Tribolium castaneum: one gene and its partners. The main gene of each other region encodes a partner of the protein of the gene in region 3 in a complex. Links are inferred from orthologs where the notes say so. Each region holds a gene or a part of one and is shown on either strand. Other genes may lie near its edges.

Region 1 (4,093 bases), on a different chromosome or scaffold from region 3:
AACTTTTGTAACAAATTCAAGATTTTTCTAGCCATTCTTCAGATGCATTAAAACCTTTTTTTTTTCAATATCTTTCAAACACTTTAGTTGCATACCGACAATTAATCCAGAAACCAAAATATTTTTATTATGCGCTTTTATAAGTTAATTGAACAATATTTGCTGCTTAGGTTCATCCTATTTCTTTCTTTTTTCTTTTGTTTTCAGTAAACTCAGAATTTATGTTTTTTTTCTTTTATTATTAGCACACGCTTTTTTAGTTTAGTTTTTTAGACACCGCATAACTGTAAAACCTTTTCTGAGAAAAATAAAACATGTACTACCCGCTTATGATTCTCTGAACAACTAATAATAACACACGTGCGTGTGACAGGCTGTCCGCTTAAAAGAGAGATTTTGTTTTCAATGATCCGAACTGAATTGTCCGCGTCCGTTTATTAGAGAGTCCCCTTAAAAGAAAAGCAATACAATAAAATACATAAAACGGAGCCAACAAAATGTTCCTTTGTTAGAGGATGCCGCTTATAGGAGGTGTCCGTTAAGAGAGATTTCACTGTATTCCGATACGAACTCGATTAAAAATTTTAAAAAATTGGATTTTTAGATAATGTGTAAATAAATAAATTATAGAACAGAATATCAAGAAATAATTATTTTACAAGACTAGTAAACGTTTACGTTTCAACAATAATACTTGTGATTTTTCCGAAATGTTATACTTTTTTGAGCTTCCAGCTTCCAAACTAATTAATTTCAAAACCGTTATTGAAATTAAATGTGTACGCCATTTATTTTCCGCGCCGCAACTTTTCCTTCAGTTTTCCTTGATTTACAAAAACAAATGGAAAAATCTCGCTCGAATGACCCAGTTCGATAAGGTCGTAATATCATGATTATTGTAACACACATTTTTACGTTCGACATTTTCGTTACTGAAAGGTATGCAACGCGATATTAACACCCGAAATTTATAGCAAGTTGTAATAAAAGTCACACATAAACTTAACACTCTGTGTAGTAAATATTAATTTATCGAATATGGCAGTAAAACGATTTATTTTTCTGACACGGAGGCGGCGTCCTGACGGCACTTCTTGTATTTTTTCAAGAATAAAACTGCCGACAGTAAAATCGGACAAATATTTATCGTACTTAAAATTGTAATAATTCGTCATGGAAAAATCATGCAACTAGTGCTAAAACGTGCAGAAAAATTTCTTTCAAACAACGGAAATGTCGCGTTCTTGTCAGACAGTCCAAAAAACTGAGCTCATTCATCACACCATTTCCTTCCATTTATTTACGTTTTCTTTCCGGAATCAGCACGACATAATTACGTTTGAAAATATTTAATTTCTCAAAGCACAAAACATCTAAAAATACCGAATTTGTTTGACGACTAAAGTGGTACAGTTAATTGTCTTATTGAATTTGTCTGCGGATTAGTAATAAATTGAGTGGCCTTCCCTGCGGCGATTTGAGCCAAATCCAGAGCCCCATCAAGGTCATTTTTTCTTATCTCGGCTATTTACCAACAATACGTTAAAAAAATACAGAGGTTCGAGATAACCCAATGAATTCACGCACGGGGGTTAGGAATACGGAATTATAGACCACTTGTAGATTTCTTCACGAAAATGCACTCCGATAAGATATCAATGTTATCGGTGACGTAACACAACGGAATCTTTCGCCATTTAAATGCCATTCCCAGATATTAAAGAAAGAGTCAAAGTGATAAACAAATGTGTCGCTTGTTTATACACCTGATAAGGAACCAACTTGTTGAACATTACGGTTCTGGAAAACATGTAAAGCGATCGCAATTTTGTTTATTTAGTTCAGTTGTGTTGCAAAGTGCTTGTCCACTTCTCCCGATGTGTTTGAAACAAAGTCTTGCGATAATAACACGATAAGCTCAAGGTCGATGTGTTTAACCTCTTGTCTAACGAGGATATCGACAAGAGACCAGGGGCGTCGTCAATTTCGAAAATCGCGCCAACACAAACGTGTCAAAACACAATTAGGTTATGTTAGAATAACGAACTCTAATTAATCTGTGATTTCTTCAGCCATTAAGCAAACTTTCTAAAAGTAAAGCGGAACTGATTGCGGCAAAACAAACACCCGAAGTGGGTTATCCCCCGAAAAATCGTCCAGTCCCGAGGGGTTTTACCCCGTTTTCGAAAAAATAGTCCAGTTTATTATTAAAAATGTAGGCTGGCCTGTTAATCAGCTGCGTTTTACCATAGACTGTACGCCTGTCACTAGCCGCTTCGGCGCGACGTTGCCACTTGGCAGCCCACATACGTCAATGTCAAATATCTCGGAGCGAAGGCATGCGGAACATGCCTGGGGGCCGTCTCGGGACGCTTTGGGCCCCGCGGGCACGTTCCCGGGCGGGCATTGGGGCGCACATGCCCGCCCTAGAAAGGCACGAGCAGAATCGGGACCGTTACGTGCAAGCGCGGCAACAGCGCCTCGCGTTCGTTCACACGAAATGCAAAAGAAATTGTCTTGTCTTTTCGGAAAATTCGCGCAAAACGCTGCGAAAACGCAGGGCATGTCCGGAAAATGCCCTCAAAGGGAGGGGGAACTGTTGATAATTATGTCACAGCGGCGGGGAAAGTCCGGCGAACGTAAACACTGTCGCAGTGTCATCGGGCAGGGGGCTGCCGGGGACTCACCAGAGCGAAGAAGTTAGTGTGGCAATCCTCTAAACTGGCCCCGTTGGTTTGAAAATTTGGGTGCGTCATGCCTGCTCCATTCTCGGCGATTTAGCACCCACGACACTTGAACTTTCCACTGCACTCACTGGCGCGTTGGGGCCCCAATTAAGCCACCATTTACCTCGATTTTCACCTTTCGAACGCAATGCAAAATGGCGGATAGGAAACAACAAGCCACACTAATTCAACAAGAGCCGAGACATTTCACAGTTTGAGCGTCCGCTCCAAGCGGCGACACACGTCGCGTGGGCTGCGCACGCGCCGGAGAGGGCCGACGGCCGGCGGCAGGTCTTAGCGCGCCGACTCGCGCCGATCTAGTCGACTGCGATGGCGGCGCTGATGAGGCATGGCGGCCTCCTGAAGCGGCCCCCGTTTGGGGCCCTAGTGCACCGCTTCGCCACCAAGGCCGAGAAGAAGAAGGGCATCGACAGGAAGCAGCCCCCGAAAATATACGCTGCGCAACAGTCTCTCGCCGCGAAAGGGTGTGTGAACCGGGTGTGCGTTCGCGCTGGACTGAGGGGAGACGTGGCGCTTCGCCCCGCTGACGCGAGGGCGCGCCACCCGACGCTCGATAAATTCGATACTGCGCGCCGTGAATTGCAAATTGTTAATATTTCAAAACATTTGCAGCTTCCTGAGGCCCTACGAGGCGTACACGCCACCGGAGGATGCCAACGAGAGGCTGGACCACATTTTTCGGGAGGTTATGGGGGCCACGGACGGCGGCACCAGGATCGGGAGCCTCGCGCAGAAATTCGATTTGTGCGCGGCCTGTGCCAAGGAATTCAACAGAGCCATTCCGAATTCAGTTTTGCACTCGGTTCAAACTTTAAATGATGTTAGGAACTTCTACCAAACGACTGTTGACGACGTTACCCCCTTGGATAAAATGCGCAACATGGAGTTGCCGGAAAATTTGCATGTTCAATACGAATATTACCGATTCCATCCAGGTACAAACTCAAGACTGAACAAATTTCAAAATTAATTGACACTTTTTACAGATACTGATAAGCTGTTCAAGGGGCAAACGGCCTTTAACCGGGAATCGACACTAGTCACAGGCTTGAAGTATAAAAATAAATATAAAGGCCACACGGAACGGCAAGAGTGGCCCTTCACTTCGTAAATGTAGTTTTTGTTGAATAAAGAATTTTAGAAAAAAATATTCTCTCTGTACCCCTGACACATATGCCACCAACAGCTCACGAAATAACCATTTTAATATGTGTGACTTTTTAACTCAAATTTTCTTGCCCAGCCTTCTAATTTTCTATTTTCTATGCATTACTTTTCAACAAAAACCCGTGAAGTCTTTAATAAAAACAAAAAATATTTTTTTAATTTTCGGGACGTTTCGTTCA
Region 2 (4,307 bases), on a different chromosome or scaffold from region 3:
TCAACAGTCCTTGAATTTCTTTCTTCTCGTCGTAAGTCTTCCACAGCTCGAATAAATTAATAACGTATCTTGCAATTTCTTGAATTCGTTCTATGTCCACGTTCAGTTCGGCAAACCAAGCCTTGTGGTCCTTTTGCAAGATGACACAAGCTATTTGAAGACAGCCAATTGCAATTTGATATGGTGGATAAAGCAAACACACATCAGTCCTAAGAGAATCGTTCACTATCCTCCAGGCGAGAGTCAAAAGTTGATCTTCTTGACCCATGTCTTGCACTAGTTGTAAGAGAGGTCTATAAGGCTGATAGACGATCAAGCAACAGTCGAGGTTTTCTAACAAGTAGAATTCACACTCTAGGATGTGGTTCGTACGATATGGAAATTCCTGACTATAGGCGTAACTAAACTTATTTTTAACTGAAAATAGATTGTTTAAAAAAGCTAGTTTTAACTTAGCCTCCTTCGATCTTAGACGGCTTTGAAATTATTAACGACAGAATATAATATTAATTTTTGGATTTTTAAACTGTAATTAATTAAATAACCGCGAGAGGTCGCCCTGTTGAGTGGTATGTTCTGAATACGGAGGACTATAAGTTAGGAGACCAAAAATAGTACGGCAGAGTAAAACTGAGGGCGCTACGAGCGTTATACCGTCTTGTCGCCAAATCGTTTTAAATTAATTTAAAACCAACCAATTCATTAATAACGTGGAAAAAATGTAGAAATGTTTTGCACTCTTAACAGACTAAGAAAGACTGACGACTACAAGTTTCATGACAAACATGAGAATTTTTTTATTTAATTTGTGCTTTAAGAAGACGCTGCGAATACAATTAAAGATACAGAAAAATGTTAGGAAGAAATTTGTAGAGAATTAAACTGACCTGCTAAACAAAAACCTTGTAACTACTTTTACGTATTTTTAAGTTATTTCGTGATTCTTAAATTTTCTTTAAATCGCACCTTTATGTTATATGCTTTTGAACTTTAATGAAAAAAATTAAATTGATACGCAATTTTATAGACATCTTTTTAGAGCGCTATTTTTCAATTTAAAACAATTGAAATAAAAAAATTGCTGAAGTTACTAAGCAAAAAAGTCGTAACTACAAAAAAACATTTATTAGAGAAAATTGAACACTTGAAAGCTAGATATTAGCATATAAATTAACGAAGAACAACCAATGCTTATAAATACAGTGGCGCTAATAAGTATTAATACAACTCATTTTTTTATTAAATGTGTTCTCTTTCAATTATTATTAACTTTTACTTATTTTTTGGTAAAAGTTGAGGCGGCAACGAGCTATCTTTAGATAAAGACAAGATTTACAAAGCTGACCAATTTTTTTAGTGCGATATTTTTTTTACATAATAAATTAAATTAAATTAATAAATAATTAAAAATATTAAATTTGACTTTTGGGTTCACCAATGAGACTAGCTAGTCTTAATATTCCCAGAACAAATGGAAATTTTTTTTAAACAAATAATTCGATGAATAAATTTACTTTCAGGCATATACCAAATTTCAATTAATTTTGAACATTTAAAATTTTAATTCAGTATTGTCAACAGACAGTATTTCTGGATCAGTCAATTAATAATAAACAATACTTCATTAAATAGACATTTTTAATTTTAGTTTTGGAGCAATTTATCTCAAAAAATTAAACGATTGTCCGGTAATATATTTTTAATCTTTTCAAGAGTTTCTGTTTATAAAATTTGATCCCTAAGTTCAAAAAAATTCGACGTGACTTATTTATCCAATTTTTGTCCCTCGAATAAAAATAGTATATACTTATTTATATCTGTAACCGTATTCGCAGCGTTTTGAAAATTATGGGACAGAGTGCAAATTGGTAAAAGTTTGAAATTTTTTTAAATATAGTTTATGATAAAATTTTTGCATTATGTTTATGTCCTACTATTGAGAATTTAATGCTCTATTTGCCTGTATTTTTTTTGTTTGCTGTGTGTTAACCGTTATACAAATACAACCATTTTTTCAAATTTATTGCTCTGAAAACCTTGGTAATGGAACAACAGCGTTCTCTGGCGGCATTAACGGAAATATCAAGGACAGGAACGTTTTATTTGTACGTCGTACCATATCCTAACTTTTAGATATCCGTAGTTCCGAAGTTGGATGCTTTTCGGTAATTTTTTTAACAAAAACTTGGGAAAATTATATCTGGTAACTTTTAGACCAGCCATCTAAGACCATCACGGAGACTGTGACTTAACTTACTGACTGTCTGACACGTTGTAATTAACCTAGAATTGGAAATCACCCCAAATTCTTCTACTTTGGAGGCTAGAAAAATGCAAGTGGGGGCTAACAATAACGGATCGATGCACTTAAGTGAGTTTTTTGCATAAAACCTCTTAAAATAAACCGTTGCGGTTGCTATAACTTGCTGGCGTAGCTTCAACTGTTCGCCTAGTGTTTGAATGACTGAAAAAATAAATTAAGAGAGTTGATAATAACCTAATATAAATAATACCGCTAGCAAAAAATATAAATATTTTTTGGTACTCCTCCTCCGTGAGGAGTTGGAGATCATGTTGGCGCTCCCTAATTAAATCTTGTTTGTCCAAAAGCCACTGCTGGCTGGAAAAAATTCATTTGTGATTTTGGGGCCGTTTTCATATCGTAACTTACTGGTGTGAGCTTTGCCAAAAATTTCCAGCCATTGCACAAACTAATCTGAGTTGAATTAAATCACAGGCAATAACTTTAAGCTTCCAGTCAATTATTAATTAACACAAAAGCAAAAGAAACCGGTCAAAGAAACTCAGTCAAGTGACAAGTGTCAACCAATGGAACTACTGTGGTGTTTTTTAACCTACGACCTCTTTTATTAAAACTGTAGACCTTAGAATACTAAAATTAAGTACAAACGAACGCTAATTTTTCAGTTTTGTTATTTATTTTATTTATTGTTTGTTTCGTTCGAACCATATGATACGAAAATGTTTGGTTGATTTGAACTACTTCAAATGTCAAAGCGCCACTTGTGACAACAAACAAATTATTGTTTGTGTGTTTTTTTGTGTTGGGAATGGTGTAGGGGCTCGGGCCCCCAGTTTTCTTTTTTGGATTCTTATTTATTCAAAAATGTGTGCTTGTGTACAAGTTGTGTAAATAATCAGTGAGTTTGTGCGACATAACCTCTAAATGCTTCCAAAAATGAATCCAGTGTACGATTACATTCAGCGAAACCGGGTTTTGGCAAAAATAGAAAAAGCTCATGGAACTAAAGCAACGAATTTAGCGCTAGATGATTACGACCTTGTCAAATTTCCCCCCTTGTTGGTGAGCTGTGTCCACCTCTCATATCTAAACATTGGTCATAATCAAATCACTGAACTGCCCAAGTGTCTCGGACAGCTCAAGAATTTGCAAAATTTGTCTCTGGAGTACAATAACTTCGATCGTTTCCCTGAAGTACTCAAGGATTTGCCTCAGTTGATTACTCTAAACATAAGCCATAATCCGATTAAAGACTTGACTAGAGATATTGGAAATTTAACTTCGTTAGAAACATTATGGTGTAACCGTTGCTATCTGGAGTCTTTACCTGAAGAAATTGGTAATTTAACAAAGTTGGAAACCTTGGGGGCTCGGCATAACCTGTTAACAAAGTTACCAGATGGAATCTGTAATTTAGTGCAACTGAGGTAAGTATGACACTTACCCAAAAATTAAAGAATTTTAGTTTTCGAAAAATCGACAAATTATTTTTACTTTATTCCACTCTCTTGTGAAACAAGGTCGAATTTTATCAACGAAAAAGTAGTACGAGGCGAAGCCGAGTGTGTTAATGCTTTTGGTTGGATAAAATCGTATTTTATCCACTGTCTACTTTATGGTAAAACGGAATTTTGTCGCCTAGAAAAATATAGTTCGCAACTATTGTTGTTTTTAAAGTATTTTTTATTGTTAAATTTCTTAATGTTTATAATTGTTAATCAAAATAACTCAGTAATTCGAAATAATCGAAAAAAATGGAGGAGAAATAAAATTTTGTATTTTACACGATAAAATGCACCATTATCTTCTCAAAACCTTCTCATAGTTAAAATCAGATTTTATCGTCTTGTATAATAAATAACTATTATTCTCGTGAGATTAATTACTTATCTACTAGCGCCTACTGTGTAAACTTTCTAAAAAAACAGATACAATTAAATATTATATAATTTCATGATGCCTATTAATAAAAAAAAATCCACATAAAAGCACAGGAGAGTTCGATAAATTAGAAAATAATTTTCAATTTAACCTCGCCCTCTTG
Region 3 (3,899 bases):
TGCCAAAGAACCGTGGACTTTACCACCCAACAAACCAACAGTCAACTCAATATCAGTATTTTCGAATTCTGACACCAAACTGGCATCGGCCACGGGAACACCGCTGGCGTAGAGACTGATTTCGCTGCTGTTCAGGTTTTCCAAAGCCGCAATGCGATCCTAAAATTGACCACTTGGAGAGAACATAACCTCACACTTTGATAAAATTACCTTGATTTCAGCAATGGTCTCATTGCTCTGGCACTCAAGCACGTGCGTTGATAGTCCGCGAAAGCACAACTGCATTTTGCTCGGTTCTGGAAGAGAAAAAACAATTTTTATTGCATCACATGGTGATTTTTACAAGCGCTTAAGTCTCGACTAGCACTAATTTTATTCAAAGGGACAACAACCGCACACATAGTACGACCCCAATCTTCAATTTTTGACCCAAAAGTCATAAAAATTTGATATAAAACGGAAAAACATACCTACCGCAAGCACTAATTTGACAAAAGGAATTCAAAATGGCGGATTCGAGGAAACGGAAATGATAGTCAGAAACTAAAATCCCTAAATAAAAAGCGCTCGATACGATTTATAGAAATTTATTAATGTCTTAAACCTAAATTTAAAATCTTTGTTGAAAATTCTGTTGTTGTTGCGACCCGTTATTATACATCATCTGCTGCTGATGAAACTCCTGTTGTTGCGATATTGGAATAGCCTAAAAATCAGTCATTACTTTGCCACTTAAATCAGAGAAACCCTACTTGTGGATTGACTTGGCCGGGATGGGCATTCCCCGACAATCTCACACGTTTTGAGGGATTCCCGTGATTATCCCCATTTCCAGATTGTTGCTGTTGGGATTGCTGTTGTTGTTGCTGCTGCTGCTGTTGTTGCTGTTGCTGGGATTGCTGCTGTTGTTGTTGTTGCTGTTGCTGCTGGTTTTGACGTTGCTTACTTTCAGCCTTCTCTTCCTGATCGTCATCAGTCAAAAATTCGCGCTTGGGATATGGGATTGGACAACCTGTGATTATTTATTGTTTTTTTTTATTTGAGAAATTTGTTAAACTGACCCGCGAAAACGTCCTGCGTAGGTAGAGGGTCTTCAGAAAAGTAGGCATCTTGCATCGCTTGTTCTGAAGTAATTCGTTTATTTGGGTCCATTAATAATAACTTTTGTAATAAGTGAAACGCTTTACTGTCAGGTTTAATCTTATGTCTATCCATGTATTTTACTAACGAACAGTTGATATAGCTGGAAAAGATTAACAAAATGACAAAAATTAATTGGCAACAATTTAATTTCCATTGTCTGTACCTTTGTTTTTTAAAATCTTTAACTAGTGTGGGATGTTCGGGCATTTTTTTGATATCTTCCCAGTCCTTTTCAAGGGGGAATCCCATAACGTTAAAAATCCTGTCTAACTGGTCATGATGGTACGGATTGCTGGTTTTGATGTCTTCTTGCCGACAATGAAAAATTGGTTCTGAGGTCAACAGTTCGGCAAAAATGCATCCAATGGCCCAAATATCAATTGCTTTCGTGTAATGGCGAGCTCCGAGCAATAATTCTGGCGCTCGGTACCAAAAAGTGACCACAACGGGGTCCAAATCAGCTAGAGGTTTCAATGGTGCGTTAAAAAGTCTCGCAAAACCCATATCTGCGATTTTAACACGTCCTCTCTCCGGCCCTTCACCCATAACCAGAATATTAGCCGGTTTTAAGTCCCTGTGTAACACCCAATTTGAGTGCAAATAATGAATTCCGTCTAAAATTTGGTAAAGCAATGACTTCACCATTCCTTTAGGGACCATGACTGGCTTCTTATTAGCTTTAGCGGCTCTGTGAAATTTAATAATGTGCCACAGGTCGTGTTCGGCGAAGTCGAATAAAAGCCACACTTTTCTATCATTGTGAGATAAAAAGACTCTAATTAACGTGATAACGTTTGGGTGTTTCAATTCCCTTAAAAGCTATAAGGCAATAAGGTTTATTAATAATACAGCACGCGATTTTTACCGCTATTTCTCTGCATGCTGACATGGATAGTCCTGTCCCCTCGATCTGTTTTAGGGCATAGTCTCGATTGTCCGACCCGTCTTTCCGCCGCCCTTTATACACATGGCCGTACGTGCCCCGACCTACCTTACAACCTTCGTAATCGAACAAATCCTCCACCTTTACCCGCTCATTCTGAGTCTTCATTTTAAATTCGTAGTCCATCATGAGAGTTGTCATAATATTCAATTGATCAGAAATTAGAGCACTTCGCGAGAAGTGCCAAGTTTATATGATAACACCGGTGATTCCCTAACAAATTTGCACTTCACTATTGGGAAGAACAGGAATGTTTGTAAATAATAATAATTAATCAAAATTTGTTTTTGACAAACGTCAACGTCTTGTCAAATGTCTAACCGCGACGAGCATGCGCAAAAACAACGCACAAACTAAAGAAAAAATGAAATTTAATTTTTAAATATCTACTGTTAATTTAATAATTAATTGCAATCAATACGTGGAAGTTTGTCGAATCAAGCAGAAGAAGTATCAATTATTTGAAATAATTATGATTTTGTGGTCCCGAGGTCGGGTTGGGCAACGTGGCGTGTCGAAATTCCCCCAGTTTGATTGAATAAATGGGAAATTCCGGTCGGAAAGTTGGGAAATCGTAGGGTCCTTTTCGAATTTCCTTCTGCGAGAGGCTGTCACCTGCCAGTTTTATTTTGTGATTCCCTTTGTTTCGGCATGTGAGTGACTGGAATATTTTTTCCCGCACTAACCAAGTCTCCGGGTCGCGCATTTCTGGTTATAACCAGTTAAAGTGGTTAAGTTACCTGCATAACCAGTGAAAAGTGACTCAATCAAGTAGTTCGTCGGCATTGGAGACCGCGCCATTTTGCATCGGGTCACATTTTTCGTATTTTTAGTTCATACGAAATCCAGCAGAAATGTCAGGAGAGGAGACTTCAGCCGACCGTAATGTAGAAATCTGGAAAATAAAGAAACTGATCAAAAGTTTGGAACTGGCGAGAGGGTAAGTGCAACGTGGTTAGAAATCCTTCAACATATGCCCACGAGTTTCAAGTAAACGGTTTTTTTGGCCTTTTGCAGCAATGGAACCAGCATGATTTCGTTAATTATACCGCCCAAAGATCAAATCTCGAGAGTTAGCAAAATGTTAGCTGATGAATTCGGCACAGCCTCCAATATCAAGTCGAGAGTTAACAGATTGTCAGTCTTGGGGGCTATCACCTCAGTCCAGCATCGCCTCAAACTCTACACAAAAGGTAAGCGCGAGGAGCCCCAGCCTGTGACACACCCTACCAAAATACCAGCGTTGAGCAATCGTTTATAATTAAAAATGCATACTTTGTACAGTTTATTATTTTAAAAACGAGCCTTTCATGATCACTTAGATTGCATGATATCCGCTTTAGGTAAACCCTAATTTTCCAAGCTGAGATTGCAAAAATAAATTGCTACCAATTAATTAAGTGGTGAATCCCGCTAATTTAAAACAAATTGAAAAATCTTTACTCATTCAGTTGTCATTTCCGATCCAACTATTAGCTGTTTCAAAACTATAAAAACGCCAACGTCCCATTTTACCGAATTATTTTTTAAATAAGGTTGATACAATTGTAAAATACTTATTAATAATTAGGTCTCTCATTAAAAATATAAATTACATTAGCTATTAATTATATGAAGTGCATGAGTAATTTATTTATTTATTTAGCTAATTCTGAGAGAAAATGCAATGTTTTATAGTTTTGAAACAGCCATTTATAGATTTTACAGTCCGTTCAGTCAGTACCTGAAATTTTTCGCTAGCTTCAATAGTTTCGAACTATAAGACAGTTATTCAGAGTGGTTTTATTTATTAAAATAAAATATATATTAAAAT

Evidence for each region.
Region 1: Cdk8 (region 3) and skd share a complex: the UniProt entries of both Drosophila melanogaster proteins name them as parts of the cdk8 module of the Mediator complex. The link is inferred for Tribolium castaneum from reciprocal best matches to the Drosophila melanogaster genes Cdk8 and skd.
Region 2: Cdk8 (region 3) and CycC share a complex: the UniProt entries of both Drosophila melanogaster proteins name them as parts of the cdk8 module of the Mediator complex. The link is inferred for Tribolium castaneum from reciprocal best matches to the Drosophila melanogaster genes Cdk8 and CycC.

The regions. Positions count from the first base shown.
Region 1 is NC_087399.1:1,816,204-1,820,296, reverse strand, and holds the start of skd (mediator of RNA polymerase II transcription subunit 13), read right to left. Parts: upstream 2,829-4,093; 5' UTR 2,757-2,828; coding exon 2,688-2,756; intron 1-2,687. Other genes in the region: uncharacterized protein mRpL50, read left to right, coding at 3,057-3,211, 3,360-3,682, 3,734-3,858. UniProt on the Drosophila melanogaster protein: Component of the Mediator complex, a coactivator involved in the regulated transcription of nearly all RNA polymerase II-dependent genes.
Region 2 is NC_087394.1:8,425,902-8,430,208, forward strand, and holds the start of CycC (cyclin-C), read right to left. Parts: upstream 2,833-4,307; 5' UTR 2,704-2,832; coding exon 2,672-2,703; intron 2,621-2,671; coding exon 2,514-2,620; intron 2,465-2,513; coding exon 2,258-2,464; intron 418-2,257; coding exon 1-417. Other genes in the region: leucine-rich repeat-containing protein 1, read left to right, coding at 3,188-3,690. UniProt on the Drosophila melanogaster protein: Component of the Mediator complex, a coactivator involved in regulated gene transcription of nearly all RNA polymerase II-dependent genes.
Region 3 is NC_087397.1:11,468,012-11,471,910, forward strand, and holds Cdk8 (cyclin-dependent kinase 8), read right to left. Parts: upstream 2,403-3,899; 5' UTR 2,228-2,402; coding exon 2,009-2,227; intron 1,963-2,008; coding exon 1,307-1,962; intron 1,244-1,306; coding exon 1,062-1,243; intron 1,013-1,061; coding exon 753-1,012; intron 707-752; coding exon 611-706; 3' UTR 572-610; downstream 1-571. Other genes in the region: RpS30 (ubiquitin-like FUBI-ribosomal protein eS30 fusion protein), read right to left, coding at 1-159, 211-285; eRF1 (eukaryotic peptide chain release factor subunit 1), read left to right, coding at 2,941-3,026, 3,104-3,279. UniProt on the Drosophila melanogaster protein: Component of the Mediator complex, a coactivator involved in regulated gene transcription of nearly all RNA polymerase II-dependent genes.